Xenopus tropicalis: one gene and its partner. The protein of the gene in region 2 interacts with the protein of the main gene of each other region in a pairwise test. Links are inferred from orthologs where the notes say so. Each region holds a gene or a part of one and is shown on either strand. Other genes may lie near its edges.

What was found. The genes of interacting proteins can lie anywhere in the genome.
Region 1: the proteins of c11orf68 (region 2) and eif4h interact in binary tests that used the Homo sapiens proteins (3 or more experiments, as listed by UniProt). The two-hybrid records come from large-scale screens. The link is inferred for Xenopus tropicalis from reciprocal best matches to the Homo sapiens genes C11orf68 and EIF4H.

The regions. Positions count from the first base shown.
Region 1 is NC_030678.2:100,958,891-100,962,547, reverse strand, and holds part of eif4h (eukaryotic translation initiation factor 4H), read left to right. Parts: intron 1-1,131; coding exon 1,132-1,319; intron 1,320-2,834; coding exon 2,835-2,899; intron 2,900-3,027; coding exon 3,028-3,124; intron 3,125-3,657. UniProt on the Homo sapiens protein: Stimulates the RNA helicase activity of EIF4A in the translation initiation complex. Binds weakly mRNA.
Region 2 is NC_030680.2:38,500,012-38,503,768, reverse strand, and holds the start of c11orf68 (UPF0696 protein C11orf68 homolog), read left to right. Parts: upstream 1-1,499; 5' UTR 1,500-1,863; intron 1,864-3,757. Other genes in the region: drap1 (dr1-associated corepressor), read right to left, coding at 1,170-1,211.

The DNA of each region.
Region 1 (3,657 bases), on a different chromosome or scaffold from region 2:
TCATCTCCCACAAAATCCATTTTAGGCAGATTTTTATAACTGTAGTTATAAAACCGTGCCTGGTGCTTTGATAAGCCGCATGAATCCATATTGGAGGCAAAAACAATCCTGTTGGATTATGTTTAAATGTTTTTTTTTTTTTTTATGGGGACCTTTAGTCATCATGATGTGGAGAGCAGCGATGAGGGAATCTGTCATGTTTCGCTGAAATTCGGATGGATGACTTGAAACCTGGTGAAAAAAGTTTCTCTCATTACTTGTCGAGAATTGTTAAAGCAACGCTGTGTGTTTGGCTTTTTTTTTTTTTTTACTGGGCTTTAGGGCTGTGGCACACAGGGAGATTAGTCACCCGCAACAAATCTCCCTTGTCGTGGGCGACTAATCTCCCCAATATGGCATCCCACCGGCGAGAATGTAAATCGCCAATGGGATGATATACGCGGCACCGCGATCGCCGAAGTTGCCTTGAGAGGAAACTTCTGTGATTTTGGCACCGTGTATGCAATCCCACCGACGATTTACATTCTCGACGGTGGGATGGCATTTCGGGGAGATTAGTCGCCCACGACAGTGGAGATTTGTCGCGGACGACTAATCTCCCGTCTGTCATGGCCCTTAGGGGCTTTGGTGCAGATCGTCTACAATATGTACTAATGGAGTGGGGCTACTTCTGTACAAAATTAGATGATACTTTTTTTTTTTATCCTCAGTACTGACATGATTTTTAGGTTTTCATAGGATTGTGTCAGTATCATTTGAAAGACTTTCGGGATAATACCTTTTATTTCTGACTAACCTCGGCTTTTCTTATTACTCCTCGATTGCCTCCATTTTGTGTTCTTATCTTGTTATGGAAAGCTAGACATTGATAAGGGGCATGGCTAACCAAACATGGCATGAATTAAATGGTTACATATCAGGAATAACTGCTGGTGTTCTCTCAAACTGCACACACTCTCTTACACAGTATGTTTTGTGATTTATTCGTCAGGAATACTTAGGGTATAGTGACCTCTAATGCTTAAATTTTTTTATTTTTTTATAGAGTGCTTATGTTTATGTCTGTAATGTGGATTTTGTTAGATGGCTTAGTTTTTGGATGAAATGCTAATAAATGTTGTCTTTAAACAGACCAAGACGTGGAGAATCTGGGCCTGGATCTCGCAAACAGAAAGAGCTGCCCACGGAACCTCCATTTACAGCATATGTTGGAAATCTTCCATTCCATGTTGTACAAGGAGACATAGATAACATATTTAAAGATCTAAGTATACGGAGTGTGCGGCTAGTTCGAGACAAGGAGACCGACAAGTTCAAAGGTTGGAAACAAGTTACTGTGTTGTGTAATTGTTATCTTCATTTTTTTGTCAGCATATTTTCCTTGTGCTGCATATTCTGTATAAGGCTTATGGCACATTGTGTGGTGGAGAAGCACTTGTATCCAGCTATGCTACCTGCTAATGGATTTTGGAGCTTCTCCACTGGCTAAAAATTTATATATTATTGCTATTAACATTAAGCCTGTGTTTAGTGCAATATAGTAGTGGTCAGAACGCTTCTGTCACAGCTCACTCACTGTCAGTACGCACGCAGAGGGTGGTTGGGAGCAGAACTGGCTTTACTCTACTGGTGCTTGTATATGTACCCCTGGTCATGTTTGTATTGGTGTAAAAAGTCAGTTTTATTTTGTTTTGCCTTAGTAAGAGTTCTTATGTTAGTCCAAAGTAATAGGGCTAGACCACTAGGGAGACCTAAAGAGGCAGCTACATTGGTCCAGTCCAAAATGTCACCCTTGCCTTCTGGGATTTTTGGAGGCTTATTAATCAAAATGTGAAAAAAGAGCTCTAGTTTACTTATAAATATGCTTTGAAATCCTGGAAGAGAACAAAAATGTTGTGTTGTAAAGGGAGCGCTAACCCAAAACATCAAAACCTTGGATAAGGCAAAGGGATCTAAAAAAATGACCCAATGCAAACTTATGTCCCTTGGGCTTTTTTTTTTTTTTTTTTTTTTTTTTGTCTTGGTAGTAGTTTCTGAGATACAGGTATGAGATCTATTACCCAGAATGCTTGGGACCTGGGGCTTTAAGGATTAAAGGAGAAGAAAAGGTAAAAATCATTGGCGGTAGCCAAATGTTTGGCACCCCCCAGTGACTTCAATTGCTTACCTTTTACCCCGGGCTGGTGCTTGTGGTAGGAGAAAACCGCACCAACCCAGGGTACCTGCAGTGAGTGTTTTCTCTTCCTTCTAAATCCTGTGGCCTGCGCATGCGCAGTAAAGTGAAAAAGCCAACTTTGTTAAAGTTCGGCTTTTCGCTCTACTGCACAAACGCGCAAAGACTGAAGAAGGAAAAGGAGACACTTGCTCACATGTACCCCAGGATGGTGCTCTTTTCTTCTCACAGGAGCACCAGCCTGGGGTGTAAGGTAAGTCATTTTGGCGCCCCCCAGTGACTTAGCTTTTTTTTTTCCTTTCTATAATTTGGATTTATTATAATTTATACCTTTTTATAATTTATACCCTGTCTACCAAAAAATCATTTAAACGTTAATTTAACCCAGTAGGCTTGTTTTGCCTCCAATAAGGATTCATTATATCTTAGTCTGGGTCAAGTACAAGATTTTATATGTATATTTACAGAGCAAAACAATAATTTTATAAAAAATTGAATTTGATGCAAATTTAGTCTATAGAAGATGGCCTTTCCCTAACTTGGAGCTTTATGGATAACGCGTTTCCAGATAACAGATCTCATACTTCTACTATCTTAATATGCTGCTAATTGCTGCATTTTGTTTCTTGTCACAGTTATTAAACCTGAAATTTTCTTACAGGATTTTGTTATGTAGAATTTGATGATCTTGACTCGCTTAAAGAAGCCTTGACGTACGATGGTGCAGTAAGTTTGTTTTGCGCTTTCATTTGTGTTTGTATGCCAGTCCTTATCCAGACATCCATTTTACACCAAAAGATAAACTTGCCTGTAAAATTGGTCCAGTTTTCAACTGTATTTCCCCCTTTCAACAGATTTTTATTGACCGGGCTATTCGGGTAGACATAGCGGAAGGCAGAAAACAAGATAAAGGTGGCTTTGGATTCAAGAAAGGAGGACCTGATGAACGAGGTGATTTGGTTTTATTTCTTGGACTTCTCTCCCTTTTTAAGAAATACATCAGTCGGAAGTTTTTTTTTTTTAAATCCATTATGTTTTTAACCAGGCAATACCTGTTTAGTGTGCACTTATTGGTTATAAATCTGAATTAGGTTGATTCAATTAAAATACACATGGTGCTTTGGAATTTTAGGAGTCCTGCATTGCTATGTGTACAAATCAACTATTTGCCTGTACAATACAAGAGTGCTTCAGACTGGAATAAACTACTAGCAGATGCAGTTTGTTGCTACTACTTATAGTGTGGTCTGCTATAGGGATGCACCAAACCCAGGATTTGGTTCTGGATTCAGCCTTTTTCAGCAGGATTCTGATTCTGCCAAATCCTTAAAGTCACGTGACTTTGTCACACAAACATGGAGAACAGCACACGCTTATCTTTAACCCTTCCGTGGCCACCTTTGCATATGCTAATTAGGATTCGTATTTGGTTCAGTATTCAGCTGAATCTTTCACTAAGGAATCAGGCTTCGGCTGAATCCCAA
Region 2 (3,757 bases):
GAGAAGAAAGTATTGGTTAAGGCAGGGATCCCCAACCTTTCTTACTCATGAGCCACAGTCAAATGTAAAAAGACTTGGAGAGCAACACAAGCACCATAAAAGTTCATGGAGGAGCCAAATAAGGGCTTTGATTGGCTATTAGGGGCCTCTATGCAACCTATCAGCTTACAGTGGGCTTTATTTGGTAGTAAACCTTGTTTTTATTCAACCAAAACTTGCCCCCAAGTCAGGAATTCAAAAATAACTCCCTGGTTTGGGGGCACTGAGAGCAACTAATGTTAAGGTAATGAGGAAGGCCTACTTGTGCACTGGATGAATAGGATAGCAAGGTGTATGCGTGTCAAACATAAGAACAGTGGTCTTCCAATTGACCAGCCCCCCCCCCCCCCCTTTTAAGGCCCACCACCATTTTACCAGGACACCCCCAATAGGGCCAACTAATTGACCCCCCCCCCCTTTAGCCCCATCATTTGACCAGGGCCCCCCTTCCCCTTTAATTTCCACCATTTGACCTTACCTCCCCCCCCCCAATAAGGCCCAACACTTAACCAGGACCCCCTCATCTAAGGCCCACCACTTGGCCAGGATCCACCCCCACCTTAATTAAAGCCAAAAACTGCCCAGGTCCCTTATCTTCTCACCTTTAAGACCCACCATTTGGCTTGGACCCCCTTAGCCCATAACAAGATCACAGACTCTGTGTATTATCCATTCAGTCACAGCCATAAGAACAGTGTTCACCCCAAAACTTGCTTTAAATGACCTTCATGAAGGGAATTAAATAGTACCTTGGGCATTCTACCCAGCTATGTCCCCGGGTGGCTGCGGGTTGGCCCTGCCAAGGCACCGAACATCCTGGTCGAGGGGCAGATACTCCGTTAAGGAACCAGTGTATTGAACGTAAACAATATATGTTTATAGACTGTACAAAAGGCACTAGTGAGCAATAACAAGCTGCAGCGTGTGCGGATACAGTGTTATTGTTACAATGAGGCTGAATACTCTGCACAACGCTCCTACTGCCCATAACCATAGCGCTGGGCAGAGCAAAAAAGATGCCAAAATCCGGCGCAACGCAAAGGATCCAGAACCAGAGGGGGGTCCTTGCGGGAGATTTTCGGGGAGCCTGTACCAGGAAAGAGCGGTGCGAGAGGAGACCGCCGACTCACCGGGGGAAAACGAGCGTTGTATTTCTTTTTCTTGCTCGGCATCTTCAGCGAGGGAAAGGGCGGGGGAGCAGAACTCAGCTGAGGCCTCCAGAGAAGCGGCAATAGCCACAAGCAGCAGCGCCGGGAGACTGGCAGTGTTCGCGCCCAGCGATGTTCATTAAAGTTGAGCGAATTGAGGAGGAAACACACCCTGCCCCGCTGTGCTCACTGCGCTGCTTCGCGAACAATAAAGTTTATTGACGAGCGCTGCCACTTCAGTGTTGCTTTTGTAGCGAGCAGTTCATTGAGTTGTGTATAAACTAAAGTTGTGTCAGCTTGGCCGCATTGCAAAATGCTTCTGTAGCGGCACACTTTCCCGCTGTAACAAAACCCATGCGATTTTTGTTTTTCTCTGAACTCGGAAATATTGCTGTATTGTTTGGTTTGGATGATGCACATGCCACAATATAAGTAAAGTGCATGGACGGCCGACCCTGAGGTGCTGGGTTGAAGCCAGCCGCGCACTAATGTACAGTATACTGTATTTTTTCTTCAGTGTTAGTGGCTTCCTCTAGTTAATAAAGTTTTTTGAAAAAAATGGAAGCAACAAAACCCTCCCTGTCTAGCAACCCAACATGTCACTGTTTCCGCGGCAACGCGGCCTGGTACAGGAAGTGGGACGCTGCAGCGACGCGACTTCGAATCGCTTAATCTTGTAAGGAATGAGTACATTTCCAGTGATTGGAATAGGCTAGGTTACCTGTTTTCCTGGTCATCGCCTTCTTTTCCTCTAGGTGTACTCTGTAGCTTTCTAGGAGTTCTTGAAAATGGTTTCATATTTTCATGTATATACACACAGAGAATACATACTTTGATCATTTATGTAGTAGGTACATTTTAATATTTACATTTATTTTAATCATTCTGTGGATCTCCACGAACACATATGTATGAATGTGTCTGGATTTGAAGAGAATGAGAGAAAGAAATAATATATATATATATATATATATATATATATTACAAGCTATTCTTTCTCTCATTCTCTTCAAATCCAGACACATTCATACATATGTGTTCGTGGAGATCCACAGAATAACTAAAATAAATGTAAATATTAAAATGTACCTACTACATAAATGATCAAAGTATGTATTCTCTGTGTGTATATACATGAATAAATATATATATATATATATATATATATAAAATACATAGTGATATAATACATTCATACAAAGTTAAAAGAACAACAATACCAAAAAATGAAAGTGTAACAGAATACACTTGTATTTACAGAGCTAATTTGTTATTTGTAAACCTGTGCATTACTCCTTCCCATCTTTAATGGCTACCCATTGCTACACAGCAGTGTGTTTATATACACAATAATAACATTTCTGAAGCAAACACATCAGTTTTACTATATGACTATGAAGATTTTCATTCATCCAGGTCATGGTATATCAGGCATGGGACCTGTTATCCAGAATGCTCAAGACCTGGGATTTTCCGGATAAGGGATCTTTCTGTAATTTGGATCTCCATAATTTTCAAAAATTGGAATTATTTGTTTGTAATGGAGTCTATGGCAGATGGCCTTTCATTAATTTGGAACTTTCTGTATAATAAGTTTCCAGATAAGGGATCCCATACCTGTATAAATAAATCTAAAGCAACTTGACTTGCTAAGTAATCATTGAAGACGTTTCAATACTCATCCGAGCAGCTGTCTTCAATGATTACTTAGCAAGTCCAGTTGCTTTAGATTTACTTATACTAGATATCACTTTTATTAGTACAGGACAACAAATTATCATGTTTTAATTATTTTCAAACACGTTAATGCTCGTTGATGCGGTCCCCGATCCGACTGCCCCATTGCCGCTCACATAATCCGATCGTCTGGCCCCAGGGCCAAACGATCGGATTATTATTTTTTTTACCTAAATGGTCCCCGATATCGCCCACCCGTAGGTGGGGATATTGGGGGAAGATCCGCTCGCTTGGCGACATCGCCAAGCGAGCGGATCTGCTCGTGTATGGCCACCTTTAGGCTGGTGCTGGGAAGAAACCTCACTGGTCTGGGGAAGTTAGAATTGCATTGTTGTCTTTCTGGTTAATAAATGCAGCCACGCAGATAGGCAGCTGCTGGAATGGAGCAGTGAGCACAAAGAGCAGACAACCATCTCTCACATTTCCTGCTTGCATTTGCATGCCTAGATCTAATTGCACACATGCCAGGCTGCAGTCATTTCTTTCCCATTCCCTTATTCCCAGCATAAGGACAAATTTATTAAAATTTAAGATATTTGTTTTGCCTCAATGTGATAAAATGCTGATACACTTGATCTTAATTATCTTATTATATGCATTTTGAGATACATTTTTAAAAAATCGCTTGAAAAAATTTGCCTGATAAAACCCTGTTGAGCTTGGCTAGAAGTAATGGGAAGTGTTTTTTCAGGATTCAAGCTATTTTATTTTTTTTGCGATTTGTAAGTCAACCATAGACTCATTTAAAATGAACGGATCAATGCAAATATGCTAGCGATCCAGAAAAAAACTCTGATAAGCTGGCCCTGGTAAGGGCAAATTTTATTTAAGCA